Alligator mississippiensis: one gene and its partners. The protein of the gene in region 3 interacts with the protein of the main gene of each other region in a pairwise test. Links are inferred from orthologs where the notes say so. Each region holds a gene or a part of one and is shown on either strand. Other genes may lie near its edges.

What was found.
Region 1: the proteins of CEP76 (region 3) and AKAP7 interact in a two-hybrid assay, tested with the Homo sapiens proteins (3 studies listed by BioGRID). The two-hybrid records come from large-scale screens. The link is inferred for Alligator mississippiensis from reciprocal best matches to the Homo sapiens genes CEP76 and AKAP7.
Region 2: the proteins of CEP76 (region 3) and CABP5 interact in binary tests that used the Homo sapiens proteins (3 or more experiments, as listed by UniProt). The link is inferred for Alligator mississippiensis from reciprocal best matches to the Homo sapiens genes CEP76 and CABP5.
Region 4: the proteins of CEP76 (region 3) and KIAA1143 interact in binary tests that used the Homo sapiens proteins (3 or more experiments, as listed by UniProt). The two-hybrid records come from large-scale screens. The link is inferred for Alligator mississippiensis from reciprocal best matches to the Homo sapiens genes CEP76 and KIAA1143.

The regions. Positions count from the first base shown.
Region 1 is NC_081824.1:113,908,021-113,915,688, reverse strand, and holds the start of AKAP7 (A-kinase anchoring protein 7), read right to left. Parts: upstream 3,492-7,668; 5' UTR 3,355-3,491; coding exon 3,309-3,354; intron 1,245-3,308; exon of another isoform or gene 1,158-1,244; intron 1,129-1,157; exon of another isoform or gene 1-1,128. UniProt on the Homo sapiens protein: Probably targets cAMP-dependent protein kinase (PKA) to the cellular membrane or cytoskeletal structures.
Region 2 is NC_081830.1:325,483-332,000, forward strand, and holds CABP5 (calcium-binding protein 5), read right to left. Parts: upstream 1,862-6,518; 5' UTR 1,811-1,861; coding exon 1,748-1,810; intron 1,659-1,747; coding exon 1,628-1,658; intron 1,521-1,627; coding exon 1,377-1,520; intron 1,297-1,376; coding exon 1,187-1,296; intron 1,110-1,186; coding exon 962-1,109; intron 876-961; coding exon 850-875; 3' UTR 744-849; downstream 1-743. Other genes in the region: ADP-ribosylhydrolase ARH1, read right to left, coding at 2,148-2,323, 2,673-3,139, 3,220-3,469, 3,584-3,682, 3,759-3,988, 4,074-4,084; uncharacterized protein LOC102566895, read left to right, coding at 4,480-4,540, 4,879-5,208, 5,342-5,635, 5,741-5,839, 6,056-6,430. UniProt on the Homo sapiens protein: Inhibits calcium-dependent inactivation of L-type calcium channel and shifts voltage dependence of activation to more depolarized membrane potentials. Involved in the transmission of light signals.
Region 3 is NC_081826.1:97,848,646-97,856,450, forward strand, and holds the start of CEP76 (centrosomal protein of 76 kDa), read right to left. Parts: upstream 3,358-7,805; 5' UTR 3,307-3,357; coding exon 3,244-3,306; intron 1,249-3,243; coding exon 1,093-1,248; intron 1-1,092. Other genes in the region: PSMG2 (proteasome assembly chaperone 2), read left to right, coding at 3,648-3,707, 7,399-7,570. UniProt on the Homo sapiens protein: Centrosomal protein involved in regulation of centriole duplication. Required to limit centriole duplication to once per cell cycle by preventing centriole reduplication.
Region 4 is NC_081828.1:136,489,155-136,496,859, forward strand, and holds the start of KIAA1143 (uncharacterized protein KIAA1143 homolog), read right to left. Parts: upstream 3,465-7,705; 5' UTR 3,403-3,464; coding exon 3,295-3,402; intron 306-3,294; coding exon 155-305; intron 1-154. Other genes in the region: kinesin-like protein KIF15, read left to right, coding at 3,640-3,658, 7,177-7,219.

The DNA of each region.
Region 1 (7,668 bases), on a different chromosome or scaffold from region 3:
TTGTTCGATATTTTTGTTTTTTCTCATTAAGTTCTTAAGTTTCCCATTAAGTTCTTATAACCCTGTCTTTTCCTGTTGTAGCCCTCCATTTTTCACCTGTAACCCTAGATTAGGTGCCAGACTTTAGGTAATTAAGAAATATTAGTCTCATATAAGTAGCACCACCACCATGCTACTGTGGAAAGACTGTCAACATATGCAGGCTTTAAGTTTCATCTTAGTTTAAAACATTTTCACTCACTCCAGTTCCACAATACTGACTGTTAAAATGTGAATCCTACGTAGATTTCCAGTGAAGCAACCAAAAAGTAACTGGTTTGGGTTCCTTACGTCACAGTCCTGCAACTGATGCCTGTGGGGGCCCCTCTGAAATCAATGTGGCTCCACGTAGACACAAGAGATCTGCCCACATATAGTCAGTCCTAATACTAAGGGCTGTATGTATGTCTGTGAACCCTATGTTATGTCCTCCCTTTGCTCCATCGAATAAGAAGTGTATTGAGAGACAAATGCCACTTTGAAAAATTCTGCCTGTCACAATAAGAGCCGGTCAGAGCAGAGGAACAGGACTCTTGACAAAGTGCCTTTTCAATAAATAAGCAGTTGGCTTGTCCGCAAGCACAAGGGCTTTCTCTAAATCCTACAGGTTGAATTCCAAGTACACAAATCCCTCCTTATCATTTATTATAATGGGTTGGTTAGCACTTAAAGAAATTGGCAGAGTAATACAAAATCAATTCTAAGCATTAATGTTAAGGGAAGAAAAAAATCTCTGCTTTCAAGTCTTAACATTTAGCAACAATGTAAATGGACATTTTAAATTAGTTTGATAGGTAGGTAAGAGGGAACACTACTCTGGCAAACGAAAGCCTTGTCCAAAGCTGTTGTAATGTAAATACTGTTTCTTAATTAGCATTAGCCAGAACTTCAAAATGTTAACACACATTTACATTATATTTAAAATGCTCCCATATTTTTATTAATGGAAATGGGTTTTGCATTCTTCAAATCTCTTTCAGTTATCACAGGGAAGCTAGTAATGGAAAGAATCAGTACAGTGGTAATGATAATGTCCTTTGACAGAGTATTCCAAGTTTAGGAAACAAGTTTACTGCTTTGAAAACTCATGTACAGACACTGCCCAAAAATACCTGTACCTTGTCATCAAGTAGGCTAGACCTCCTTAGTCCTCCTTTGTTTGACACAATGGTGACACAAACCAAATGGCAGCACAAATCAAAAACCTGATGGCAGCACAAACCAAAAATCAAGGACATAAAAATGCAATTAATTCCTTAATGATAAAACAATATGTTTTATAATCTATCATAATCATATCTGACACAAAATTTATGAGAATAAAAGTGTTTCTGGAGAGGTAAGGCAGACTTAAAACAGGCAGGAGTTAGTTATTCAGTTCCCTCCGCTCACCCAGACCTCAATTTGTTAATAAGGATGGGGCAAGAGACCACGTAGTTTAATGTGTTAGTCTGAAGTCAAATAGAAGGCAAGATAGATTTGCACCTTATAGACTAACCTTATATACTAATCTATATCTACACCTACTGTATTTATTTGATTCGAAGACAAGGTTCCCCCCATACCATTTAATATGGGAGAAGGGGGGAAAGGCCCTTGTCTTGGAACCCATTACAAGGGGGCAGGACACCGGGGCTAGGCAGCTGCTGTGATTCTCTGTTGGGACCACAGCCATGGCTGCTGTCTGCCCCCGCTGGCTCTATACACCCTGGTCCCCACTTACCATCTGCCACCGCCTGACTGCTTTGCCCACTGCAGTGGTGCTGAGGACAAAATTAAGATGACGCTCCACTAATAAGATTCTATACATGGAAAAATTATAACAAAGTAACACATTTTCTATGTCTAGAATCTAATTATTGGTGGAGGACTGTCTTAAATTCAGGATTGTCTTGGATCTGGGTAAGTATGGTATAGATCTATATCTATGCCTATACTTATGTCTACTTCAGTATCTCTCTTTTTTAGAGAGAGAAAGATCTGCACCTACTTTGGTTAGTAGATACCAAAGTGGTTATAGCTATAGCTCTAACCATATACATATACATACACATATATAGCTATAACCACTTCGGTATCTACTAACCAAAGTAGATTGAGCACCACTGCTTTAGCTAATCACAACTCTTCTACTTTTCAAGTGCTTGTCATCTCCTTTCCTACTACTTGGGGGCCTGGATCCCACATCAGTTCTCATAGCCAGTGGTAGAACTTTTTATTATTTAAGCATTAACTTCACTTTAGGCATTAAGGCATTACTGGCAAGGGCAGATCATAACAAAGTTTTCTCTCTCTCTTTTAACTGTTACTTTATGAAATCAAATTGTGACAATACTAAAAGTGTCTGATATAGACACACACTTTTAGTATTGCCACAATTTGATTTCATAAAGTAACAGTTAAAATACACACACATACACATACACTCATATGGACATATCTATACTTTAGTCGGTAGATTGATCCATTGATCGATCTTTTGATAGATAGTTATACCCATACTTCGGTAGGTAGATAGACAGATAGCTCTATATTTAGACAGACTTAGATATGCAGGTATGTAGGTAGGCAGATCTATACTTTGATTGGTAGGCAGGCTTATTAGATAAATATAACTATACTTTGGTAAACAGGGACAGCGGTGCTTTGGTAGACAGACAGGCTGATCTATACTTTGGCAGATGGCAGACAGACAGAACAACTAATTGACGAAGCAGCACTTGGGCTGGATGGTAGGTAGGTCAGAGGACACTTTGGTTGGTAGATAGGTAGATCAGTAGACAGACAGATCACCAGACACATACAAACATATTTCGGTTGACAGACAGACAGGCCGAGCTATACTTTGGCAGGCAGATAAAGCAGATGGACAGACAGACCGCTCGATGGATAGTCTGGCAGGCAGGTGGGTCAGCAGCTGGATCGCTACAGCTCTCGTTTGCTAGATCCACACGGACTCTCTGGTAGGCAGAGACATTGCTCTGTAGTCGGGTAGGCGACAGACAGACAGACAGACACTTGGGCAGATCGGGGGTGGGCAGGGCAGGCACAGCCAGACCGATCTCTACGGTGGCAGACGAGCCGAGCAGACAGACCGGGAGACACGCCCACGTGCGGTCTCCAGGCAGAACAGCCTCCGATATGCGGCGGTGGGACCCGGGGGCGGAGCCTTCCCTCCAGCCCCCTAGGGCGGTGATGTCATGGGGCTCCGCCCCTCCGCCTGCGCATGCGCCTTGGGAGTTACCCTCCCCACCCTCTCCTCTCCTCACCCTGCGACGGCGGCGGCGAAGGTGGCTCCTCCCGCGGCAGCGCCATGGCTCGGGCCGGGCCCAGCACGCGGCCGGCCTCCCGCAGCGCCCCACCCCCACTGCACGGCGGCGCCCGCGGGCCCGGGGCCCAGAGCGGGAAGAGCCGGAGCAGCGCCCCCCGTCGCGCCAGGAACAGCCGCAGCGGCAGCAGCATGTCCCGCCCCACCCCGCCCAGCTCCGCTACGGCGCGGCACAGGGGCCAGAAGGGCCGCCCCGCACCCGGGACCGGCTTCCGCGCCTTTCACCCCGGGGTGCGTTTAGTGATCTGGTGTCCCTGTCCTGACATGCTGCCTGCCCAGTATGCTGTTCTGCTTTCCCTTCCCAGTGTGATCCACTGCTCCACTTCCTGCTGCCTGCTGTCTCTGCTGCCTGCCCAGTCTGCTGCTCAGCTTTTTACTCCCTGCCCCCACCCCTCTCTGGCTCCTGACCCATAGCAGGCTGCCACCCAGGTTGCCTGTTGGCCACCTCTGCCTCTACAGTGCCAGGTTTGGGTTTGATGGGGTGGCTTAAAAAAAGAAAAGGCATTTCCAAATAGGCGGTTAGGGCAAGGAGTTCACTTTTATTTTGGGGTACAGGGTGGCCAGGATGCCTTGGGGTGAAATCTTGTATTGGGTCCGTTCCTGCTTCGGGGAATCTCGGATTTTGAAATGGGGCAAAAGGGGGTTGAGGGAGATGGGCAGATGGTGTGGTGTATTGTCACATATAAGCACAACACAACACTTTTTTCCCCAGGTAAGGGGAAGAAGCTAGAAGTGTTATTGATATCCTAGGGGCCTGGGGCTGTATTATTCCAGGTTAAGATGAAAGCAAAAACAAACCTAACTTCACTGACGTGCATTCATTTGCTGTGTCACATATTATATATTAAAAAGCTCAGCGGAAATAATCAGAAGATGTTGTTTCTTTAGTCTTGTAGTCATTAAGAATTAAAAGTATCTCAGAGCCATAAAACAAAATCAAGCCTTTATGAGCATCTTGATGGTGCATCTGGTGCTTCAACTGAACGTTATTTCCATGCCTGAGTTAATGTTCTCCTGAATTCATGTTTCCATACCTGAGCTACTGTTTTTAGGTAGAGTCCAAGCCGTCCACAGTGCTATGAAGTAGTAGCTACACTACCAGGAGCAGCTAGAGATGACAGAATTGCAGATGAAAGGGTAGCTTGCTTTGTGGACTATTAAGATGGCTAATAAAGGGTCACTAACCCCTGTGGAGTGAAGGATTTAGAATGGGGAGGTAAAATATGGGCCGCAGGCCAGATCCAACATGCCAACTGATTGGACCCAGCCTGTGGCTGCCCCTGTGGTGCTCCAGATGGGGCTGAGCTGTGACTGGGCCAGCCTGTGCTTCACTCCAGCCCCAGGCCAGGCCAGCATGCGCAGCTTCCCACAGGGCTAATCCAGATGTGGCTACAGCCACATGGGTGCTGCTCAGCCTCTAGCAGTGGCTCCTCCTATTGCTGTGCTGCCCCGAGCAGGAAGCAAGCTTCAGTCGGGTGGAGTGGGTGGAAGTCAGCCGGATCCCTGCATGCTGGGGCAGGAGCTGCCTGGCTGAAGCTTCCTCCCCACCTGGAGCAGTGCAGTCAGTGTAGGAGGAAGAGCTGCAGCTGGAGGTGAGGGGAGCCAAGCTGCACCCAGGCAGCTGCAGGCCCCAGCAAGCTGTGCACTCTGGCCAGGGCTGCACTAGTGGGCACAGTCTGGAGCACTGTGCAGGCTGCCCTGGGCAGGGTTCAGCCCCATGCAGAGTGCCATGAGGGCAGCCACAGACCATACTGCCCAGGCAAGCTCTGCTGCATCTATCCCATGCCCTTCCTCATCCCCCGCCCACCAGCCAGCTCCCAGGATCTAGCTCCCAAAAAGCTTTCCCCCTCACCACACACAGGTGCACGCACCCCCCCACACACACCTACCCTCCCCCCCACACACACAGGTCTGGGGCATGCAAGGAGCAGATCATGGCTCTGCCCTGGGCCTCAGTCCCACACTGTCACCATCCCACACCCCCATCCCATGGTCCTGGCCTCACCCACTCATCCCACTCCCAAACAGCTCCCTGCCTGCCCATGGCCCACATAGGGACTTTTGGTGAGTTGTAGGGGCAGGGGTGCTGACTGGGTCCACCACAACTCATCAAAATTTATGTATGTGGCCCCCAGGCCAAAATAATCGCCCACCCCTAGTTTAAAAGATAGATTATAATGAGCCATGAAATCAAGTGACTCCCGCTGCTGCCTGAATAGAAGAAGTGCTGCTGCTGCTGCGGGCAGTTGGTTTTAAACTTTGGGTGGACCAGGAATCAAAGCACACCCTGCCCCCCCAGTCTGCCCCTGGGACCAACCATAGAGTTGGAATACAGTTAGTCCAATAACAAGAGATCACACTAAGAAATCCTTGCCTTTAGCATAATTTCTGGATCATCTTAGTGACATCACTTACACTACCATTTTCACCTACTGCAGCATTCAAACAGGAGTTGTGCTACAACTCCCCCAGAGCTTCTCCCCAGGCCTAACTGCCCAAAACAGGAGGCTACTGAAACTTAGGTATAGTAGCTCAATATAACTTTCCAAAAAAGGCAACCACCCCCACCTTCAGACTGGTAGAAGGACTGTATACAACAACTAGCTACAATCTCCACTGTGGTGCAAAGAATGGATGCTCCTGCTTTCAACTTCCATCTTCCTTTGAGCAGTCTTCTAGAATCAACATGCCTGTGCCTCCCCCCTTACCATTGGCAAGCAGAGGGCAGGACAGGGTGGCACCTTACTACAGTGAGTCTCAAATAGGGTGCCTTCAGATCCTTTTAGGTGTCCTGTGTGGTGCATACACGATTCCCAAGATAAACTCTTGAGATATCAAACAGGAATTCATAGTGCAAAAAACATTTTGTTCTTCTGTAGTTCTTTGCAACAAAATAATTCCTCTATTGTTATTCTGTAGTCAAGACATAGATTAAAGCTAAGAGTTGCCATTTTTCTGATGGGTGGGTGCCTTCCATCTAAAGAAAGTAGGAACCACTACTTTAGATCGGCCAATTCAGAGTCATGAGCTTACATGGTATCTCTGAACGGTCTCTCTGTAAGGTGTCACGCTGCCCTACCTTCTGCCTGACTTCAAAGTAATGCAGTTAACCACCTTGCTTACCACTAACAGGGCATGTCTACACAAGACATTTACTGAAGAGTATATTAATTAGCTCCACAGTAAACATCATGCATCTACACATGAGCCCCTATTAGGCTGCAATAAACTAATTTACTCTGCAGCAGGACAGTACTTGTATTTACAAGTACTATCCTGCTATGGAGTTTTTCACTCTATAGCAGTGTGTGAGTGTGTGACATTGCTGCAGTTGGCTGGGGCACAAGGGTGCTTCAGTGTGGGTGCTGCATGCCAGCTGGCTCCACACTGGAGCACCCTCTTGCCCCAGGCAGCCCCCCCACAGCATGTTGAGCCAGCAGGGAGCAGCCCTAGGTTGGCAAGCTAACCCCCAGGGCTCCCTGCCAGCTGGGGCTGCTCTGATCCAGCTCAATATGCTGCAGGCCTGGGTGCACATTCAAATAGCATGGCACCAGAGTTTATTGCTTGGCATTAATTGCATGTGTAGACACACCCACAATAATGCTTCTGCTGTGACTGCACAGTTTCCTTTGGGTCATGAACCTCCTAGCATTATGTGGTAAGCAGATACAAGAGGAATATTTTCTTACCTAAAGAAAGTATTTGTACTTTTAAAAAGCCAGCAGAACTGCATTTACATCAGGGTACCATAATTACAACAGGAGAAGCCCTATAGTATAGACAAGGCCTAACCTTGTCTTTAGAATGATCCTAGATTTTCCCTTCTGCTACATAAAATTTATTTGGAGGCTTCAGACCCTAAGTACCTGCTTTTAGAGTTAAGTCACTTCAATCTCTTTTTCACAATAGACCCAAATGATCTGATCTTCCTAAGGTTAACCCAGGGCTGTCCAACTGGCAGGTCATGGGCTGCATGTGGCCTGCAAGAGGTTAAGCAGACCCCCAGGCTCCTGCTCAGCCACCATGCCCCATCTTTCCAGCTGCAACAACAGCCAAAGTCTCCAGCCTCCCCCTCTATCCTCCAGGACCTGCACAGACATGCAATGGTGGGGGTATCAATACAGTGTGCAGTCCAGGGAGCCTGTGTCTTACCTTGATGTGACTCATGGGTTTGTGGCCCCCAGTGGTGGGGCCCACAGGACATTCAGTCCCTGGCTGCTTAAACAGTTAAGAGTTAGGTCGGAGCGGGGGACAATTATTTTGGCTGCTGGGCCACTTAATGAGTTTTGGTGAGCTGTCCA
Region 2 (6,518 bases), on a different chromosome or scaffold from region 3:
GCGGCGGGCAGAGCGGGGGCTCCGCACCGCACCGCACCGCACCGCACCGCGGCACCCTCTGCCCCACGCAGCACCGGCAGCTCTGGCCCCGCTGCCACGACCCCCGCGTCTGTCCCCAGCGCCCCGCCCGGCTCCGGCTCCGGCTCGCGGCAGGGGCTGCCCCTCGTCCGCCCCCACGGCCGGTCAGTGCCACCGCAACCGCAACCGCAACCGCAACCGCGGCGCCCGCCGGCAGCCCGGGCCCGCGAGCTGGGGGCCGGCTGCCCCTGAGTGCTCTGGGCAGTGGGGGGGGGGCGCCCCACTTTTACCCACAGTCCTTTGCACCAGCCCCCCCGGGCCCGGGCCATCGGACCCTTCGCAGCCGTGGCTGGGGCGCGGGGCAGAGCCGCCCTTCCCGCCACCCCCGCTCGGCCCCGGCTGGCCCTGCTGCCCCACAGGGGGCAAGGCGGCGCTGCGGGGGGGTGGTGGCCCCGGGTACGGGCGCGACGCCCCCGCACCCCCGCACCAAGCGGGGCGGGCGAGAGGCGGGGGCGGGCAGCACCCAGGGGTGCGCTCCCACGCTGCCGGCAGAGCGCCCCGGTGCCCGCGCCGGGCTTAGCGTGCCAGGCGCCGCTCGTGGGGCTTAACGCGGCAGCCCCCCCGCGCCCGGCCGTGCCCATCTGCCGCCCCCCGGGCCGCGATTAGCGGCGCTAAGCCCGGCGCTCCCGGCTAAGCCGCGCGCCGCTCGGACTCGGGGTCAGCGCGGGAGACGTTTATTGTGCGGGGGGGTGCGGGGGGAGCGGGGTGCAGGGGGCGGGGGGCGGCGGGGGCGGCGGCTCTGGGGCTGCCCCGTCCCTGCAGCGGGCGGGCTCAGCTCGACATCATCTTGACGAACTCTGCAAGGGAAACGGCCGCGGTCAGCGCCGCCGCCGCCGCCCCCCCCGCCCCGCCGTGCGGGCACCGGCAGCCCCGCGCTCCTCACCCTCGAAGTCCACGGTGCCGTCGCCGTTCACGTCGGCCTCGGTGACGACGGCGCGGATGTCGCCGGGCGTGAGGCGCTCGCCCATGAGGCGCTGCATGGCCTGCGACAGCTCCGCCAGCGTGATGGCCCCGTCCCCGTTGGCGTCGAACTGCGGGCGCGGCGCGGGGGTGAGCGCCGCCGCCCCGGCACCCCGCCCCCGCCGCCCGCCCCCGGGCCCCCGCCGACCTCCTTGAAGGCGTCGCGCATCTCCCGCAGCCCGATCATCCCGGCCGTCTCCGCCAGCAGCTTGGGCGCCATCAGCTCCACGAAGTCCTCGAAGTCCACGCGGCCGCCCACTGCGCGGGGCACGGCGTGAGAGCGGCGCGCGGCCCCCGGCCCGCCCGGCCCGCCCGCCCGCCCGCCCGCCCGCACTCACGGCTCACGGCGATGTGCTGCGAGAGCTGGATGAGCTCCATCTCGGTGGGCATGTAGCCCATGGTGCGCATGAGCTGGCCCAGCTCTTTGGCCCCGATCAGCCCGTCCTTGTCCTTGTCGAACTCCGCAAAGGCCTCCCGCAGCTCTGCGCGGCACCGGGCGATCACGCCGCCGGCCCCGCACCCGCCCCCGCCCGCCCGGCCGCTCCCGCCGCGCAGCCCGGGGACCCGGCCCGGCCCGGCCCGGCCTTACCGTCGATCTCGTCGGCGCCCAGCTCCCGCTCCTGCAAAATCCGAGCGCGGCGGTCAGGGCAGGCAGGTGTGCGGGACCCCGCGCCGCCACCCCCGGGCCCACCCGCACCCGCCCCCGCACCCGGTGCTTCTCGGCGATGCCCTTGCGCAGGAAGACGCACGCGGGGCCCAGTGGCGGGTCCATCGCGGCAGCGCGGGGCAGCGGCGGGCGCCGGCCCTTATAACCCGCCCTAATCCACCCCCGCCCCCCCGCTCCCGGCCAACATCTGGCGACTGCGCCGGACGCCCGGCTCCTCTCGCCCCGCCCGATGCCTCGGGACAGGCGCCCCCACGCGCGGTCCCGCGTGCCCACACACCACGCACGGCGCTTGCTGGCAGAACCGCTTTATTGCACACTGGTGGGGCTGGCAGGACCCGCGTCTGGGCAGGGGCTGGGGGACAGGACTCGGGCTTCTGGGGGCATCGGGGGGCGGGGGGGGGGGGCAGCGGGTCAGGAGGGCACCCCGGTGTCCGGGGCAAGCTCAGGAGGGGCCCGCAGCGGGCGCGGAGCCCCAGGCCAGGGCGTGCAGGCGGTCGGCGGCCTCCACCATGCGGGCGCGGTACTCCAGGTGCGCGTGGTTGCCGGGGGGCACCCCGTCCAGGCCGTGGGTGACGCCCCACCAGCACCCCGCGATGACGGCCGTCGAGTCGCTGTCCCCTGCGGGAGAGGCGCGGGTCACAAGGTGGTACGGGGCGGGGTGTCACTACAGGGCCCTGCGCTGCGGCTGGGTTGGAGTGGGGTGGGTGCCGCCAGGAGCTCCCAGCGCTGCGGCTGGCTCTGGGGTGGGCTGCAGTAGTGGCTTTGCATCACAGAGACTTCCTGCAGTGCGGCTGGCTCTGGGGTGGGGCGGGCTAGGGCCATGCGTAGCAGAGACCCTCGGCTGTGGCTGGCGCTGGGGCTGGGTGCCCTGGGGCCCTGCGTAACACGACCCGCGAGGCTGCGGCTGGCTCTGGGGAGTGCGCTGGAGCCGTGCATGACGCGTGCGGGCGCCGCGAGCGCCACTCACCCCCGTGGAAGGCGGCGCGGGCGCAGAGCTGGTCCCAGCTGGCGCCGGCACCGAGCAGGGCGTCGTAGGCGATCATGGGGGCGTCGTGCCCGCTGCGCCCGGCCCAGCCGTCCAGGCTGAGAGCGGTGTAGGCCACATCGCGCTCCGCCGGGCCGTACGGCTCGGGGAACCGCGCCGGGCCGCTGCCCGTGGCCAGGCCCCGCTCCGCCAGGTACCTGCGGGGCGGCAGCGGGAGGGTGAGAGGGGCCCCGGCTGCCCCCCCGGTCCGCGCGCCCTCACTCACCGGGCCCAGCGCTCGGGGAAGTCCGCCCAGGCCTCCATGTTGGGGGCCACGTCGCCGCCCGCGTCCCGCACGTAGGCCTGCGCCAGGGGCAAGGTCTGCAGCAGGCGGGCGCCCCACTGCTCCGGGGGCACGCCCTGCACCGCCAGCGCCGTGAGCAGTGCCGCCGCCAGCGCGCCCAGGTACCCTGCCGCAGCACGGCGGGGTCAGGGCCGGGGGTGGCCAGGCGGCCCCCCCACCGGGCCCCGGCCCCGCCCGGCCCCGTACCCGTGGGGTGGTGGTGCGTCATGCGGCCGCTCTCCACGCTGACCCGGATCAGGTGCGGCAGGTCCGTGGGGCGCGGGTACCTGTCGGGGCAGGTGGCGGTCACAGCCCAGCCGGGCCCCGCCTGCCTCCCGCCCCTGCACCCACCTGAGGCCGATGGCCATGGCGCGCATGGCGGCCCCGCAGCCGGTGCCCGTCGGGTTGAAGGGGATGCGGTGCCCCCCCGGCTGCCCCGGGCGCAACTGGGACGTCCCTGCGAGGGACACATGCAGGACAGGGGTGAGGCGCAGTGCCCGGGGGGGGGGGGGGGGGGCGGCTGGGTTGCCCCGCCCCGCGCCGCCCCGCGCCGCCCCGCCCCGCCCCGTACCGAGGATGCTGGTGGGCCCCGGCTTGCGCCCCTCCATGTCACCCATCGCCTCCACGTAGCGCCGCGCCAGCTCCTGCAGCAGCGCGTCCCCCGACAGCCCTGCGCAGAGCAGGGGCGCGGGTGAGCGGGGCCCCGGGCGCTGCCCCGCCCTGCCCCGCGCCCGCGCCTGCCTCACCGGTGGCCAGGGCCTCGGCGGTGGCCAGGTGCAGCACCGTGTCGTCGCTGACGGGCCAGTCGGGGGGCGCCACACGCAGCGCCGCCAGCCCGCCCAGCGCCGCCAGCTCGGCCTGGATCTGCGGCCCCGAGGGGCAGTACTCCCAGAGCGAGCCGCGGTAGCCCAGCGCGTCGCCCGCGCCGCTCAGCACCATGCCCGCCCGGTACGCCTCCACGCGGGGCGGCCCGCGCCTGCACGGGCAGGGGCCGGGAATGAGGGGGCTCGCCCTGCCGGGTGCGCCCCCCCCCAGCACCGCGGGGTGTGCGTGGCACTTACGGCCCCTCCATGGCAGCTCTCGCTCGGGCTGCCCCGCACCTGTGTCTGTCCGTCCGCGCGCCGCAGCCCCTGCCCCTCTCCTCCCCCTGGCGCCATCCCCTGGCACCCGGCCCTTAAAGGGGCAGCGAGAGCGGGCCGGCCGGCGCCTGGGGAGGAGGATGGGCAGCCCGGGCTGCGCACGCCAGGAGGCGGGTGTAGCGGGGCCGCGGCGGCCGGCTCTGGGGCCGACAGGAGGGCCGGGGGCCTGGCCCGCCGCTCCCGCAGGAGGTGGCCGCGTCGAAGTGCAGCAATTCCCACTCTGCCCTTTGGATGTCGGGGAAAGCGAAAGCAAAACCTGTTTTTCCCCGCCTGGAAGAGCCTGGACACGGGAAGCGGGGTGCAGCAGAGCCACGCAGGCGGCGGGTCCATGGGGCTGGGGGCTCCCCTCCTCCTGCCCCTGCTCCACCCCCTCTTCCTGGGGGCAGCGGGTAAGTGTGGGGCACCCCGGGGCTCCCAGATGGGGCAGGGCACTGGGTGTGGCCGTGGGCCCGAGAGCCCGGGTGCTGTGCCAGCAGTTGGCAGGGGTGGCAGTGGGTGCCGTGGTCAGAGGGAGTCGTGGGCCCTGCTGTGGGCAGCCCCGCACTGTGCTCAGCCCCGGCGCTGGTGGAGGGTGGCAGATCCTGCGGGGCTGTGCTCGTGGCCTGTGCTTCTGGCCCCCTTCCTTCGCGTGTAGCACCGGGGCTGCCAGACTACCGTGGCCGGTGGGGCGTGGTGCTGGGAGCCGTGGGCCGTGCAGCCCCCATGGCGCGTGTGCTCTCCTCGGCAGGGGCCATGCTGACGCTGTACACGGCGCCGGAGACCCGGGCAGCGCTGGGCTCGGTGGCGCTCCTCAAGTGCCGCTTCAACGTGGGCAGGCCCATAGACCCAGCAGTGCTGCGGGTGCGCTGGCTCTCCGCCGCTGCGGGCCCCGTGGCACAGTATGACCGGGGCCAGGGGACCTTTGAGCCACGGCTGCGCCTGTCCGAGCAGGAGCTGCAGATCGGGAACGCCTCCCTGGAGGTGCAGGATGTGGCGGTGCAGGACAACGGGACCTACACCTGCGAGGTGGCGTACGGCACAGAGACGCAGCTGGGCAAGACGACCCTCTGGGTGCTCGGTAAGGACCCTTGGGACCCAGGCCTGGGCACTGCTCTATGGCCAGGGCGGCGGTGGGTGTGGGTGTGTGGTGCGGGACGGCTCCGGGAATTGGGGGCTGGTGGTGCTCCCCTCACGGGCTCCGGCCCCTGCAGCAGCCCCGAGGATCTCCCTGGACCAGCGCGTGGGTGGCGCAGAGACGTCCCTCCTGTGCCACGTGGGTGGCTTCTTCCCCGAGGACATGGAGGCCACGTTGCTGAGAGATGAGCAGGTCCTGAATGGCTCCACCCGCTCCAGCCCCCAGAGGAACCAGGACGGGACCTTCAACCTCACCCTGACCTACACCTTCACCCCAGTCCGGAGCGACGCTGGCGCCGTCTTCACCTGCCGCGTCCGACACCCGGTGCTGGGGCAGCCCCTGGTCGAGGAGTTCGCCCTGGATGTCCCAGGTGAGTGCCCAAAACAGCCTGGCAGCGAGGCCAGACAGTGCTACAGGGTGAGTGCTGGAGCAAGGCTGTGTGCCAACTTTCCCTCCCACCCCGTCCCTGCTGCAGGCTCGGACCGCACCGGAGCTGCGATTGGGGCCGTTGTGGCCATCGTGCTCGCACTAGGAGCTGCGGGCGCGGCCAGTTACTGCTGGCGGCAGAGGAGAGGTACGGGCACGGCGCCGGGGGGAGCAGAGGGGAGGGGGGACGGCGACAGGGTCTCGGGCAGGGGCACGCTGCGGGGCACAGACGGGCCCCTGGAGCAGGGCAGGCTTTACCCTCCTGCTCCCGGGGACCCACACCCCGCAGCCCCAGCGCAGGCCGGACGTGTCTCCAGGACCGTCCCAAGGTGACCCTGTGTCCTGTGTGTTGCTCCCACCCCAGGCAGGAAAGCCGCTTGCTCCGTGTCCAAGGTGGAGGGGCCGGAGCGGTGCCGGCTGGGCCAGGAGGTGACTCTGCGCTGCTCCGTGGAGGGGAAGATCCGTGCAGACACGGCGGTGACGTGGGAGCGGACGCAGGGCGAGGACAGGGCGCTGATCCAGAAGGACGGGCCCAGGGCGGCCCCTGAGCACCAGCTGCTCTTCCCGTCCCCGCCCCCGGGCTGGACGTCCACCCAGGAGAGGTCCGAGACCGGCCTCACGGCCCTCCTGACCTTCACCCCCACGGTGCAGGATCACGGGGCGCGCGTGCGGTGTCTCCTCCAGCCCGAGGCCCGAGACAGCGGCGAGGAGCCCGAGTGCTGGGAGATCCGGGTGTGGGGTGAGTCCCGGCAGGGCCCGGCAGGGAGAGTCAGGGGCAGCGGCTGAGCGAGGAGCGCGTTTCATGTAAGACGGGGACACGCTGGAGA
Region 3 (7,805 bases):
AGTTAAGAAACGTTACTTCTTAAAGATCCTTGGCAGTTTCCGAAACCTGAAAATCCCACACTTCTCTGCCATCCTACCACACAATGTTTCAACCACCACCCTTCCAGTAATTGGACTTACTAGTTCAGCATTGACTTTACAATAAAAGTTAAACTAATTTGTAGAGGTGCACCAATACATTGGTCCAATATCAGATCGGCACTGATATAAAGAAAATTGGAAATCAGCCTGAAGTGGCTAATAATTGCTCGTGCGTGGGCACAGCCGCAGCACAGCATGCAGGCAGTGAGCAGCATGAGCCCAACAGCTTGGACAGCTGCATCCAGCTGTTAAATCTGGTGTGGTGGAAAGGGAGGGAGGAGGGAAGTGGCATGGGTGGGCAGACCTATGGCCCCTGAGGTGAAGGAGTGTAGACCTACACGCCCTCAGGTGAGAGTAGGTGCCGCCCAGCCGGGGTGAGCATGGGACAGAGCCGTGGCTCATCCAGAGGTGCGGGGGGAGGGGCCAGCTTCCACTGCTGTGCACCACTCATCCGGCAGCTCATTCCATCACTGCTTCAACTGCTCAGCCCCAGCTCGCAGCTGCAGCCCACCCTGCCCTGTGCAGATCCAGGGGCACACTCACAAGTCACCCGCCACCCTGACAAGCAGCAGGAGCCACTGGATGAACTGCTGGATGAGCAGTGTACAGCAGCGAGAGCCATGCCCCACCCCTCCCCGGATGAGCTGCAGCTCAGTACCGTGCCTACCACATGCCTACCCCAGCCACAGCCCCACTCCTTCCCTCACCATGGGGGGTGTTGATCTGCCCCCCTCTCCTCCCTTTTCATCACAGACTTACCAGCTGGACTCAACTACACCGGAAATCGGATCGGTAACGGCCAATATGCCTCCTTAAAAATTGGCTATCTGTATTGGCCCCCAAAATGTCTAATTGGTGCATCTCTACTAATTTGTCAACAATATACCAGAAATCAATAAAGCCAACATAAGCGACACTGGGCTGAAATGAGTTTTCACTGCCTATTGAAAGAATTTTAACAATGCCAAGATGAACAAAGTATAAATATTTCCCTTTTCAAAATGTACTCACAGTTACAACTTTAAGTTCTTTCATAACGTCATCAATGATTCCTCTTCGTCTCAGAGCTTTCATCAGATCATCTGTGGATAACTGCTGATGCTCGGGCGCTATCTCGTCACGTATAGTCTCAGCAAGAACTTCTCGGATCCTTCCATGGACGTCCATCTAGAAGAGAAAAACTTCTATGACCTGCTATCCAATGCTTGTTAGGATAGCATTATAGCATTCCTACATTAATCAAATAAGTTATAACCCTCAATAACCATCTAATACCATAGAGCAGTGGTGCTCAACCTTTTTGCCCAGGTGGCTGGCTGGGTAGAGCCTTGTTTATCTGTGGGCCATATGCAGCTGGTGGACCCAATCCAGGATGAATGCAGTCAGGCCCCATCCACTCACGCAGGGGAGGAGTCCAGCCCTTGAAGGGGAGAAAGGGGGCTTGCCCGGATGCAGCCCCATGGGGGGGAAAGGGGGTGCAGCTGAGCCCTAATGCAGATCTGCAGGGTTTGGGAATTTGGCAGTAATGGAGGGTGGCCGTGCTCTCCTGCCACCCAAATTCCTGACCAGCGGGGAGCCCCACAGGCCGAATACCATGGCTGCCTAGACTGCAGGTTGAGCACCCCTGTCCTCAAGCTACATGGTTCAAAGAGGCATGCTGGGAGATTAAAAAGATTAAAACCCCCTAAGAATAAACTGCAGTGAAACAGGAATGCAGTAAAAATGAAGCATCCGCTGTCACAAATGTGGAAGGAATTGGTCCTTGCTGCTTTCCTGGGGCAGAGGAAACCAGAGTAGCCCCATCCGTTACACAGGCCAGGGCCTTGCTGTTACCTTTAACATCCTTATCAAGTGGAAGGTAGAAGGGAGCTCATCTGGCAGCAGGTGCACAGCCAAAACCACTCATACCACCAAAAATAAACAAAACACTCAATGGAGCGCATACTGAGAACACCTTGGAGAAGCACGACTCTGGCTACCTTGCCTGAGGCAGGCAAGGATGCTAGGCCTACTGTGCTGTGCCAGGGCTGAGGGCATCCTCCTGTGGGGTTTAGATGATGGTTTGTCCAGGTCAGTTTGGATAGGGAGTGGCCTGCCTCAGGTTGGGGCTGCACTAGGACCTCTGGAGGCCCTTGCCAGCCCTCCAAGCGCTTTGAAGGAGGCCGGACGGTGCAGGTGGCCAGAGGGATCCTTACTCTGGCTCTTCACGGACTCCTCCACGTGGCCCCTCTGCTTCCGACAGCTCAGGCACAGCTGCCCACCACCTCGTGGGGCCTGAGACAAGAGCGCAGCGTGGCCAAGTGTACAATAATTATTGTATTCGTACAATAGTTTCAACCCTTCTGCGACAGAACAATCTGTAAAAGTGTTCAAAACATACAACTATTTTTGGGGCAGCTCGCTGATGCAGCACATGCAAAACCCAAGTCGCTCCCAGAGAGTCTTAACTGACTTTTGGGTTTGCCGCCAGCACTTTCTTACAACTGCTTGCCTCGAAATAAAGAAATGCTTCCACTTGGATGACCCAGGTCTTGCTCACTCACTCACCCACTGGCACCTTATAACAAGTAATAGAAAATAAATAATAAGAAATATTTGCATCTATTTCCGTGTACGATAGCTTTTCAGCAAATACGATCATTTCGAGGGCACATGGACCAGCAAATACGATCATTTGGAGAGCACCTGGACCTCTTCAGCCTCCGCAAGAGAAGGTTGAGAGGCCACCTTGTGGCTTATCATGGGGGCACAGAAGGGAATTGGTGAGGCTTTACTCACCAAGGCGCCCCTGGGGGTTACAAGAAATAATGGCCATAAACTAGCAGAGAGCAGATTTAGACTAGGCATTAGGAAGAACTTCTTCACAGTCAGAGTGGCCAAAATCAGGAACGGGCTCCCAGGGGAGGTGGTGCTCTCCCCTACCCTGGGGGTCTTCAAGAGGAGATTAGATAGGCATCTGGCTGGGGTCATCTGAACCTAGCACACTTCCCTGCCCAGGGCAGGGGGTCGGACTCGATGATCTATTGAGGTTCCTTCCGACCCTAACATCTATGAATCTATGAGCTTGCAATACGATTATTTCACATTTAGGTGCCCGGAGCGCGTTCAGAGCCAACCGGGACCTGCAGCCCCATGCCCCCGCCACCCGCACCCCCAGGGCACCTTGGCGAGCTGCTGCCGGATGATCTGCTTCAGCTCCGAAGCCTTGTCCGGCGGCAAAGCCATAGCATAAACCCGCACCCGCCTCACCGAGCCGCTGGCAGCCGCCGTAACTGAGCCCTCCCCTCCCCCGTGCGGCCACACCCCCTGCAAGCCCCCAACCGCCGTCTCCAACTGCCCGGCCAGGACGGGAGGCTGCCCGCCCAGCTGCCTGACGGAGGGTCCCCGCTGCCACCCGGGACTGGTATCCCCGGCTCAGCCCGCTCGGGGGCTCCGGCAGCCGCGCGGCCCCTGCAGGGAGCAGGGTGGGGACAGGCACCATCCACGACGCCTAAGGCGCCGGGAAGTGGAAGGCCCCCGCAGTGGAGGCAGGCCCCGCCCGGCCCTGGGCCCCCGCGCCGCCTGTCATGTTCGTGCCGTGCAGCACCGCGGCGCGCCGCGACTTCAAAGGCTTCACGCTGCTTATGGTAACGACCCCCAGTCCCCGCGCCGGGGCTGCCCGCGGCCTTTCCCCCCGGTTGTGCGGGGCCCTGGGGGGAGGGGAGGTGGGACATGCCCCGCACGGGGCGGCAGTTGGCGCAGGAGGTACCAGCGTTCTGGGCGTGACGGCAGCGGAGCGCCTTGCTGTCTACCTTGCGGGGCAAGGCACTGCCAAGGGGGTCTAGGATGTGGAAGCGGGGCAGGGGCATCCTCACAGCCCACACAAGGCCGTTTTGGTGCACTTCAAGAGAAACTAGAACAGGGGTTGGCAACGTTTTTGGCTGGAGTAACTAAAACACTGCAGTCCTGGTATTGACTCCGTGGTGACGGCTGTGCAACTGGCTCTGGGTGCGCAGCTGGGAAGAGGTTTGGGGGGCAGCACAACCCTGGTCCCTCACCTGCTGTCCATCCCAAGGTGTACACATAGCTGCCACCTCCACAAAGCTGGGTCGGGGAACACAGTGCAGGAGTTTGCAGCTTCCTAGCTGCCTGCCACAGCCAGCTTGGTCTCTGGGCAGCTGCAGCATGTGGCAGGCACACTGCAAATAGCTGTGCAAGAGTCTGCAGCACCCAGCACTGGCTCTGTGGCAGAAGCAGCTGCATGTGTGCTTCTGGGTGGACAGCAGGGGCTGGGGCCAGGCTTGCAGTGCCCTCAGGTCCCTTCTCAGCTGTGTGCTGGAGCTGCACATGCAGCCGCAGAGCTGGTGCTGGGGCCATGAAGAGCAGCACAGCTATTTATAGCCTCCTAGCTGCAGCCGGCCCAGCCTCTGGCCAGAGCCTGGGTTGCTTGCAGCCTCCTGGTCACCTGCCACGGGCAACCTGGGCTCTGGCTGGTGGCAGGCTGGCTGTAGCGTGGTGGGGAAGATGGCCTTATGTGCCGTGCTCTGGCACATGTGCTGGAGGTTGCCAATCTTTGAGCTAGAAGCTTTGCTCCCAGGTGGGACCCAGCCCCCCCCCCCCCCCCCCCCCCCGGCGCCACACACATGCACCCCCCCCCCTTGATTGCCTTCCTTATGGGCAACCCCACAATTTTAGGAAGGTGCAGATGGTAGGGGCGCCCTCCTGTCTAGCCGAACATTTTTTTTTCTCTAGTTAAAAACAAACAAAAATTTTACCAAGCTGCTAGGGATCTGGGGGTGGATGATCTCCGTTTAAGATGGAAGGAAAAACAATTAGAAATGCATTGCAATAAGGGAAAAGCAGACCACAGGGCTGTGGAATAGGAGCTTTGTTAGCAGGAGCAGCCAAAAGACAACAGAATGGCAGCACAAAAGAGAGCTGGAGCAGGGAAAGAGCAAGACAATTAAAAAGAAGAGAGGGTCATTAACACTTGTGAAATGAACAGCTGAGAAGGGATCAGGTAGATGACGGTGAGCCACAAAGTCAAATGAATTCCCTGGGCATGCCCTGATAGAAATGTTACCACTGCCAGGCAGCTGGTTGGGTGGAGCAGACATCAGAGGGGGTGCAAGTGCATCGGCATTCTCCCTCTGGATCCATCCCTGGCTTTTCCCATTTTGAGATCAAAGTGAAAGCAAAATGTAACTTGTCTGGAATTGCAGGTATCTGCTAGATTAGATGTCAAGTGTGGGGGGGGGGGGAAGATAGTGTGGCATTAGTCCCACAGGTGTAGTTTACAGGTACGTCTCATTGGGATACCTAAAACAGAATCTTGCCTTCTTGAGAATCTTGACCATGCCGCCAATGCTGCTGTCAGTCATTTCTATGCCTGAGTTAAGGTTTTTTAGGCTGCAGCTACAAACAGTCTGTAGGGCCATGGAATTGAAGAGCAGCATTACCAGGAATGGCTAACAGACCTGCTAAATTATGGAAGAAAGGATAACTTGATTAGTAGAAGGTCGAGATGGTTAAAAAAAGAGAGGGTCGTTCTCACCTGTGGAGTGAAGGGAGGTGAGCTGGGGTGATCAGGTAGATTATAACAAACGGTTACTCCATAAGCACCACCTGAATAGAAATGCCACTTCTCCCTCTGCCACTGGTTTTCAATTTTGAGTGGAGGGGGGTGCAAGTGTACTGCTGCACAAATGCACATCCCCGATCCACCCCTACTTCACCATAAACTAAAACAGTCAGGACCTGGCTCAGTTTTAAATGAAAGTGCATTCTCCTTTTGCATAGCCATAGGGCAGTGGTTCTCAACTTTTTATGCTTGTGGCACCCTTTGATAGACTTGGAGCACACCTTGGAAAATGCTACTTCTTATTTTTCACTAATTTTTTGACCATGGCCAAATAATAGAGCAATTCTTCTGTTGCAAAGCACTCGGAAAGACCGCAACAGGCCAGAATCTTTTTAACACCATGAATTCCTATTTCAAATCTCTGGGTTTATCTTTTGAATTATGTGTGCATACCTAACAAAACTAACATTGCCTTGGTACCCCACAGTACCCTTGAAAGTATATCAAAGCACCCTTACTGAGAAATCACTGCCATAGGGATTCCTCCCAGAGAGGGCCCAAATGATGTGAAGGTAAACTGACTGTATCCGTGGCACCACCAGCTGCATCAGCCATGTGGACACAGAGAGGGGTGACATTTTTTTCCATAAATTCTTTCATTTTATTATAAATTGGATGTGAGGTGGCAGGACACTGGTAACTTTTCACTTCAGTGTATCTTGCTGGTTCCAGCAAGATACACTTGAACTTAGTTCTGTGACTTGGATGAGAGTAGAGTTGAGCAGAGTAGAGCATTGTATAGCTATATAGGACTGGGGCACATAATACATGTGCTACTTTAAGGAAAAATGTGGCTTCCCTTCTTTACCCCCCTCCAAGTTGCTAGTAAGTCCCAGTGAGTATAATGTATTCCTTTTTTTAAAGAAGAAGAAAACTTGTTAGGCATACTTTCCAAAGCTGTTGACACCACAGCTCAGGTGGAGTCTCCCCTGATGCTTTCATCATTAGCAAAAAGGTGATTTTTGAATTAATTATTATAGTAATTTTTTACTTGCCTGATATACTAACCAGCATCCCATTTATTTTGGAGATAAAGGATATACAGTGCCGAATTACAAATCCTACGTTACATATCGGTTAGTATAGAAACAAAATGTGAACAAATGTGTGTTTTGAGATACGTAGAATAATGCCTCAGGTTTTCATATCCAATTTTAAAATACTGGATGGGAGGAGAGTTAATTAGGTCGTAATTAGGTCAAAGTTGAGGGGATTTTACTTGTTAATCTGAATAGTACTTTTAAAGTTACTTCAATTAAAATACCATAGTTTTATTTACATATTAAGTGTGTAATATCAAAATAACCGTTAGGTGTCACTTTAGGTACTGACAGCTTCTGCACTGAGTTTTAGTAACTTTGTCACCCGTGGAGAAAAAAAACCCCTGAACCCTCAGTCCTGTACTTAATTTTCTATGGAAGTAGGGATACTTGAAGAAGTAAATTTTAATATATATTTGCAGGATCAAAGCCAAAGTTTGTATTAGTAGGCTAGCCAGGCTGTTCAACAAATTACGTGTCTGTCAAAACATGAAATGCTTCTCTTAGAAGTGTGATAAGTCTAACTAGTCTGAGGATTTAAGTAACTTAATTTTGGTCTTTCTCACACCATCACATTTTATGGATGAACTTTACTGTAACTTACTAGGTAAACTACAAATCTGTTAGTTTGACACTAAGTATCTTGTGTTGTTTCAGCCATCTGTATCAGTGGGAAATGTTGGCCAACTAGCGATAGACTTGGTTATTTCTACACTTGACATGCCTAAAGTGGGTTACTTCTACACTGATTGCCTTGTGCCAATGGTTGGGAATAATCCGTATGCAACAGCAGAAGAAAACTCAACAGAATTGAGTATAAATGCAGAAGGTATGTAAGTTATACCAGTAGTCTTTACAAGCTATTTTTCAGATGTTGATTTAGGTGCAGTCCTGCAGTGGTCTATACAGAAAAACCTTTTAGGGAAAAGGGGCTCTGCACAGGTGCAAGGACTCATCCATGGGATGCTCTCTGCAGGATTGGGGTCTTACCTTGTTTCTAAAACCAGCTGGCAACCAGAGAACGATGAACTAAATTGTATTAATATACTCTGTGGCTTTTGATT
Region 4 (7,705 bases), on a different chromosome or scaffold from region 3:
GAAAATTAAACATGTATCAGTCAAATCTTTTTCTCCATACATGTAGTGTCTCCCTGTCCGTGTGTGTACACACTCATGCTCACACACAAACATATATATCACACACACAAAGCAAAAGGGCAAGCAGCTTCAGAGTCAGTGTTTAAGTACATACCTAACTTAGAAGCATCTTTGATCTGCTCTTTAATTTTCAGTGCCTCTTCTTCAGTCAGGTCGCCTTTTTTCAGCACTACCACTTGTGGGCGCTCATCCTCTTTGTCACTACCACTCTCATCATCTTCCTCAGGGACCGGAAGCTGCTCTCTCTACATGAGAGAAACAAAAGCAACTCTGATGACCATGCCAAACCAAAGTTCCTAAGCAAACAGTACTGGGAAGATCAGTCTCTGGTTCAACTTTTGTAGCAAGCTCAAGATGGAAAGACATAGGGACAGTGTCAAGCCTTCCCAACATGCAATACTCAAATGGCACAAAGCTACAGTCAAATCTTATGCTAGAAGAGCTGATGCCCATCTTTTTAGTGGCTAGAAAGCAGCAGATGCTTGTATACATGAACACAGCTGGAACTGCTGCTGTTTAAGACAAGGTATATATTCCACTTATTTGACATTTATACGTAGACTGATGTCCAATCAGAAATCTGTGGTTCAGACACACTAGAGAAGCTTCAGAAAACATTAGGAAAAGGATTGAAGTTCACCATCACAAGGACACTACAAAGGTAACTTAAACCAAGAACCAAGGTTTCTCCAGTTATCCCAGAGCAGCCTTGTACCCTTTAATACGGTGCTTAAGCAGCTAGACCAGCCCTTAGGGGCCACTGCAGCCAAATGTAAGCTGATGCAGCACTTGCTCAAGCAGTTCTCAACCTTCTTAGGCTCAAGGCACCCATTGGAAAATGCTAGGGCTTTGTTTTCACTTGGGTTTTCTTTGACTCCTGAAACATAATAGAGCTATTCTTCTTTGGCAAAGAGTTTAGGAAGATTCTCCTCCCTCCCTCTTTCCCAAGATTGGGATGATTTAAACACAAAAGGATTCCTGGGGGAAATCTAGAGGTTTCTCTTGCAAATCGTACTTGCACCCCTAACAGTGCTAGCCTTGCGTGATGCCCCATGACACTCTTGAAAGGACAAGGCAACCTCCTTGGTGTCACAACCAAATTAAGTAGTGCCCATGTCACAAACAAGTAATAACCATTTAAAACAGTTTTTTCTGCACTAGGTTAACTAAGGGTTAACAATAATGATAGTAACCACTTTTTTCTGCGCATGTCAAAAAGAAATTTATTGCTGCGCCACTAACAGAGATAAAAACTTTTGCCTTCTTTGCTTTATATAAATCATTATAATTGGTCAAAGAAAACAAGGAGTAACCCTGTAAAAATAACACCCTAGCAAAGACCGCTAGATAATTGGCGATTCTAATTAGATTTATGACATGGCGAAAAACAATTGGCTATCATACAAACAAAACCCACTTACATTTTTCGCAAAGTCGAAGACAACTCTGCACACACCTTGGAGTAAATCTGACAATTTGATCAGTTGTCAGCGTCTTCCTGCCACGACCTCCCTGGCGTACCCTTGCCCCGCATGCCCGATAAGCCGACCGCCGGCCCGTATATATATATCTGCAGAACGACGATCTCTAAGCTCTAACTAAGTATCTCTGACCTCCGTCTTACACCACCTTGACGTGAGTAAACAATCTTGCTTTCCAACAGATAAGCGTCCGCCTAATTAATTCCACTCCAAGCATCACAGATACCCGCCTGACGGCCTTCTAAGGCCCCGGACCCTTATCTGCCCAGGTGAGAGTCAGGGAGAGCTGCTGACCGGCTGCCCTGGGTCCCGACACTTGGAAGCGCTGCTTTAACTTATGTGAGAGGCTGAAGTTTTGTCCTTTGCCAGCCCCTATGCAAGGGGCGTGACACTAATGGCTCAGTCCCACATTAAACCATTGAAACTGGACAGCAACCACGTAGAAAGCTGTTACACCATTTCAAGCACTAGTCTGGGGGCCGGCTTCATACACATTAGGGCTGGAAGGGACCCCGGAAGATCATCAAGTCAAGCCCCCTGTCCCAGGGGCAGGAAGTCAGCTGGGGTCATATCACACCCAGGAAGATAACTGTCCAAACGGTTCTTAAGAGTCCATAGTAAGCAGACTCCCACCACCTCTGGAGGGAGTCTATTCCAGGCCTTGGGGGCTCGGTTGGCTCTTTTTAAAGCTCTATGGACCTTTATAGGGCACAACAAGGACTTAGCAAAGACAGCCACTCTACATTTATCGTACAATGACCCATGAACTGCATAATATATGTAGTGGGGGGGGGGGCCTCAGAGCATTCTGCTAGCCTCTTCTCCTTGCTGCCTGCCAACCCGCTGCAGGGAGCCTGGATGCCAGTGTTGCCAGGTCTTAAATATGAAATTATCATATTTTCTGAAAAACTATCATACACTGAAAAAAAAAAGTAGACAAATAAGTCTTATTTACTTGATCTTGATCACTGCCAGCCACCAGTGAGTGAGTGAGAATTGGGTTAAACTTAAAGCATTTCTTTATTTTGAGGTGAGTACTCACAAAAAAACCCGCCAACAGCAAACCCAGATGTCAGTTAAGACTCTCTCAGAGCGACCTTGGTTTTGCATAGGCCGCAACAATGAGCTGCCTCAAAAATTATGGTGCATTTTGCAGGGGTTTGGGTTGTGGCTGTGTTGGTCTAAGGACGTAGGCAGACAAGGTTCCTTGGGTGAATTTGATATCTTTTATAAGACCAACGCAAATGGTTGGAGAATAGTTATTAAGCAAGTTTTCGGGTTCAAAAACCCTTCCTCAGGCTAAGGAAGCTTCAGCAGTTGGTGTGTGGAAGAGCACACACCAACTGCTGAAACCTCCTTAGCCTGACGAAGGGTTTTTGAACCCAAAAGCTTGCTTAATAACTATTCTCCAACCATTTGCGTTGGTCTTATAAAAGATATCAAATTCACCCAAGGAACCTTGTCTGGTGCATTTTGAACACTTTTACTATTATCGATAGTACATCATACCAGGGTTGAAATTAAAGTGCAAATACAATACTTATCATACAGCGGGCAACACTGCAGGCTGCACGGAGGTAGCTGGGCCCTGCCCACCGCCCCTGGGGGGACCTGACACACCTCACACTAAGGGCGCGAAGCGAACGTGGCCATGGAGAGCAGTGCCCCCGCGCTCAGGGGCGGGGCTTTAACGTCACTGCCTTGATGGGGGAGGGTACGGTGACATCACGCAGGCCTCGCGGCGGGCCGTTACCTTGGTGTCAACCGTGGGCCCCTCGCGGTACCCGACCTCCTTCTTGAAGCGGCTGAGGAAGGCGGGCTCGGCCGGCGGCACATAGGACACCTGGTCCCGCTTGCTCATGGCCGCCGCCGCCTCTCGAGGGAACGGCCCGCGCGCCGCAGCACCGACGACGCACTTCCGCCAGGAGAGGGGCGGGGCGGACAGAGGCCAGGGTGGACAGCCCCGCATCACGTGACGAAGGCCGCTTCCCCGCGGCGGCTTCCTGGCTGAACACTACTTCCGCTTTTCCTGGCGCTAAGCGCCAAATTTGAACCTGCCGCCATCTTGAGCGGCGGTGTTGCGCCGGGCGCGGGCACCATGGCGCCCGGGACCAAAGGTGACGGCGGAGCGGAGCGGGTCGGGTCGGGGTGGGGGCTGCCCGCGCCTTGGCAGCGACCCCGCGGGGGGAGGCTTGGCGGGTCCCGTCACTTCCTGGGGGGCGGCTCCAGCAAAGGGAGGAGGTGAGAGCGGGCCGGCGGGCACTGTCCTCGGCGGGAAGCAGCTGCGTCGCGGTTTGCCCAGGCTCAGTCCCCCCGCGTCAGCCGTGCAGGAAAGGAAGGACCGGGCCAGTTCAGCGACTCGCCGCCCCGTTAGCGACCAACCCCCTCATCCACTTCGACTGGGTTTCTAGTTCCTTGTGCGTCGGGGGCCGGCGAGCGGGATGTACCGTCCATCCCATCTGATCCATATGGGTTACACCTGTATACGTGCCTATGCATGTGCGTCTGCATGTAGATATAAATGTGTGTGTGTGTGTGTGTGTGTGTGTAGGTATAAGCCAGAGAGAGAGAGAACTAATTTTCTAGTTCACACACATGCTCCCTAATTATTTTCTTAGCACTATCAATTGCACATATGTGTGCATATACATTTCCAAACTGTCAATTGTGTGTATACACACACGCTTATAATTAATAATTAGTAATTAATTTTCTATCAATTGGGTGTGCATATGTATATACACACACTAATTTTCTATCACTTACATGCATTCATTATATACACATATTCCTGGTTTCCCTGACAGTCTTTTCTCTGATGCCTGATGAAGGGTGTTTGTGCCCAAAAGCAATTAAAGACTTTTAATTGCAATTAAAAGATTTTTTTTAATTAAAGACTTTTTTTTTCTAAAAATCTTGCTTGGCTAATAAAAGATATCCCCTCTGTCCATGAACCTTGATTGATTTCCCTGACTGCATTTTTCATTCTTGTGTTTTCACCATTTCACTATTGCATTTTTCAGTGTAATTTGCAGTTTTGATGCAGCACGTTTGAAAGTTGCATTGGCTTTTTTTGTAAGTTTATAGCATAGTATGCTGCTTCAGTGTCCTCAAGTAAATCAAGAGATATCAGGTGCAGTGTGTCTGGGACTCTTTCATTGGGAAGCAGGTTGATGTAGTAGAGATGATAATTTTCAATCTTAAGCCTCTCCCTCACACTGTTAGCAAGTCCTGCTGTTGAAGCCAAAGTACAGACTCAAGCTCGCTGTGTGCTAGGGGAGGCCTTACAGATATTTGTTATGGAGCATTTAACCATGGTTGAATAGATGGTAGCTTGCTTTGGCATCCTTTCATCTACTGGAGACAGTGAATATTGTAGCCCATGATGTAGATGGTTTGCAGTGTCTCATGTGACTGAATAGTTTAATCAGCATGATCTGTGGCAGTGATTACAAATGCATATGTTATGGTTGGGCTGTTCAGGAGCTGCATGCTTCCTATGGGCTTTTTTCTCTTCAAGCTGTTGGAGTCAATTTCTGTTGTGAACTTAATGGAGATGATGATGCCACTTGTTATGATCCCCTGCCAAGGTTTCCTATTGGTCAGGATCAATTACAAATGCCTTCGTATTAGGGGTGCACCAATAGAGATTTTTTGGGTCGGTACCGATGGCTGATTTTTAAGGAGCTATATTGGCCAAACCAATCTGATTCCAATATAGAGCCGGGCAGCTTGGAGACCAGCATCGGGCTGATTAAGTCTGGTGTGGGGGAAGGGGCATGGTGGGGTGCAGATCAAGGCCCGCACAGCGAGGGAGGGAGTGGGGCATGGGCAGGCATTGCTCATCTGGGGCGGAGCATGGGATGGAGCTGTAAGCGGCTTTTCCGGGGGGGAGGACAGCTCCTGCTGCTGCACATACCCTAGGAGGGCATGGGGGACATGTGCCCCCAGATCTGTGCATGGGGCGAGGGTGGGCTGCAGCCAGGACCTGTGCTGGGTACTTCCCGGCAAAGGGGCTGGGCTGGGCACGGGGGGAGGAGGGGGGTTGTTGTGGCTAGAGCCCCAGTGCCACCTCACGCACAGATCTGGGGGCACCCATGCCCTCCCAGGGTGCATGTAGTGGCAGGCCCCCCCGCTGGATGAGAGGCTCGCGGATCCATCCTGTGTCCCTCCCTGGCTGAGCAGCGCCTGCTGCTGCCCCACTACCTCACTGCAGGGGGCCTCAGTCTGACTCCCCACCCCTGCCTCCACACCGTACCAGCTCTATGCCGGCCTCTGAGCCACCGGGCTGTGCTCCTGGCCACATACATGCTGCAGCTGTACACCTGCACAGAGCATTTATTGGCCACATAGGGCAAAAAAGCCGATTTCTGATGCTGTCAATTTTCCCTATCTTGGTGTTGATTCAATATTGGACTGATGTATCAGTGCACCTCTACTTCATATCTCACTTGTATGTGTCTTTGTAGCAAAACTTGGGATGTCCTGTTGTTCTTGTTCCTCTCGATAGTTCCCCGTATAGCACGTCCGTGGCTATGCATCCATCTTCTGATCTGCTTAGATGGCTTAGGCAGCTCAGTTATCAGTGTCTGAGTAGGGCTCTCATGCTTAGTAAACTTGCCCTTTGAAGAACCTCTGCAGTGGTAAGTTTTTATCTTGCCATTTGATGTTGAGTATGTGGCATAAACAGCACAGGTGGAAGCAGTTTAACTTTTTCTCTTGATGTGCATAAGCTATCCATGTTTCCCCACCATACATGAGAGTGCTGAGTTTGCAAGCTTTGTACACTAGCATTTTGGTCTTGATGGTAAGCTTTGAGTTGTTCTGTGCTCTTCTAGTCTGATGAAGGTGGTGGCAGTCTTTCTGATATGAACACTAAGTTCTGATATGAACACTAAGTTCTTCATCCAGTGCAAGGTTAGTAGTCACTAAAACCTAGGTAGCTGAACTTTTGGGCTACTGCTAGCTGGTTCTCTTTAAGGAGGATTGATGGATCTTGTGGAACTCCCTGTCCTAGTACAATTGTTTTCATTATGCTGATGGTGAGAGTAAAGATGGTAGAAGTTTGGATATTTCATAGAGTTCATCTTAGTTTTTTTTACAGTGCTCAAGTAAAAGTATTTCGGCTGCTTCGCTGTTATGCAATGAAATTTCTTTTGGCTAATATGTGTCAAAACTTAATGTTCTGTGATATCTACCTGTTATGGTTTAAAGCTTTTTAAAACTCCATTATGTGGGAATCTGTAACCATAGCTAAAAATCTGTGGCCTGATGCAAACATGCACATAACTTAATGCACTTGAGCAGCCCCACTGAATTCAATAGGGTTGCACCATTCATAGAGTTAAACATATGCAAGTGTTTGCCTTGAAAGTTTAGTGCTTCCACTAGATATGCCAGAAGCACTAAACCAGATATCTAGCAAAGGAATATGGTAGATGAAATTTTTTTGCTACTTCCTATTATTGCCAGTTACAATGTAAAACATGTTTAAATGGTTTTGTAAGTATGCAAATGTCTTTCTTTTTTCTCTCTCCCAATATAATTTGGAATATTTTCTCCTAATCCTTTACTGATAGCTACAAATGGTTTTCCTGTGAAGTTTTATGAGCGTTGTTCCCCTTTTGTTTTACAGGAGATGTGCGCAATCCAGCATTACCTTCGTCAAATTCACTTAAGTAACTATCTGTTTGCTATTTGTTTTATGATGCATTTTAAACTGTATTCTGTTTGGCAAAGTGATTTTTGAGGGTTTAGAGTTTCTAAATGTTGTGGTGGAATAGAAATTTGTCTTCTCATGAACTGCTGCTACAGTGGTAGGATATTGACCTGTGCTCTTGCATTTTCTGTCATTTTCTAATGACATGTTTTAGGGTTTTATAGTTGTGAATTTGGTGGCTGTCATGGGTGGGAGCCAGAATGAATGATCTTGTGGATTCTCTTGTAAAACAAATTGTCCGTAAACACGTGTATACCCAACTTTGAGACTGTCATCTTAGATGACTGCAGAATACCTGGTAGCCTGTTTTTTATATTGCCATACATTGAGCTTTTAGAAAAACCATCTTAATGTGGGCCAAGAAATGGTCATGTGTTTGTGTTTGGACTAATTTTAACTAGTAGGTCCTTCTGTTAATTAAGTGGGTTGAATTATAGGTACTGGA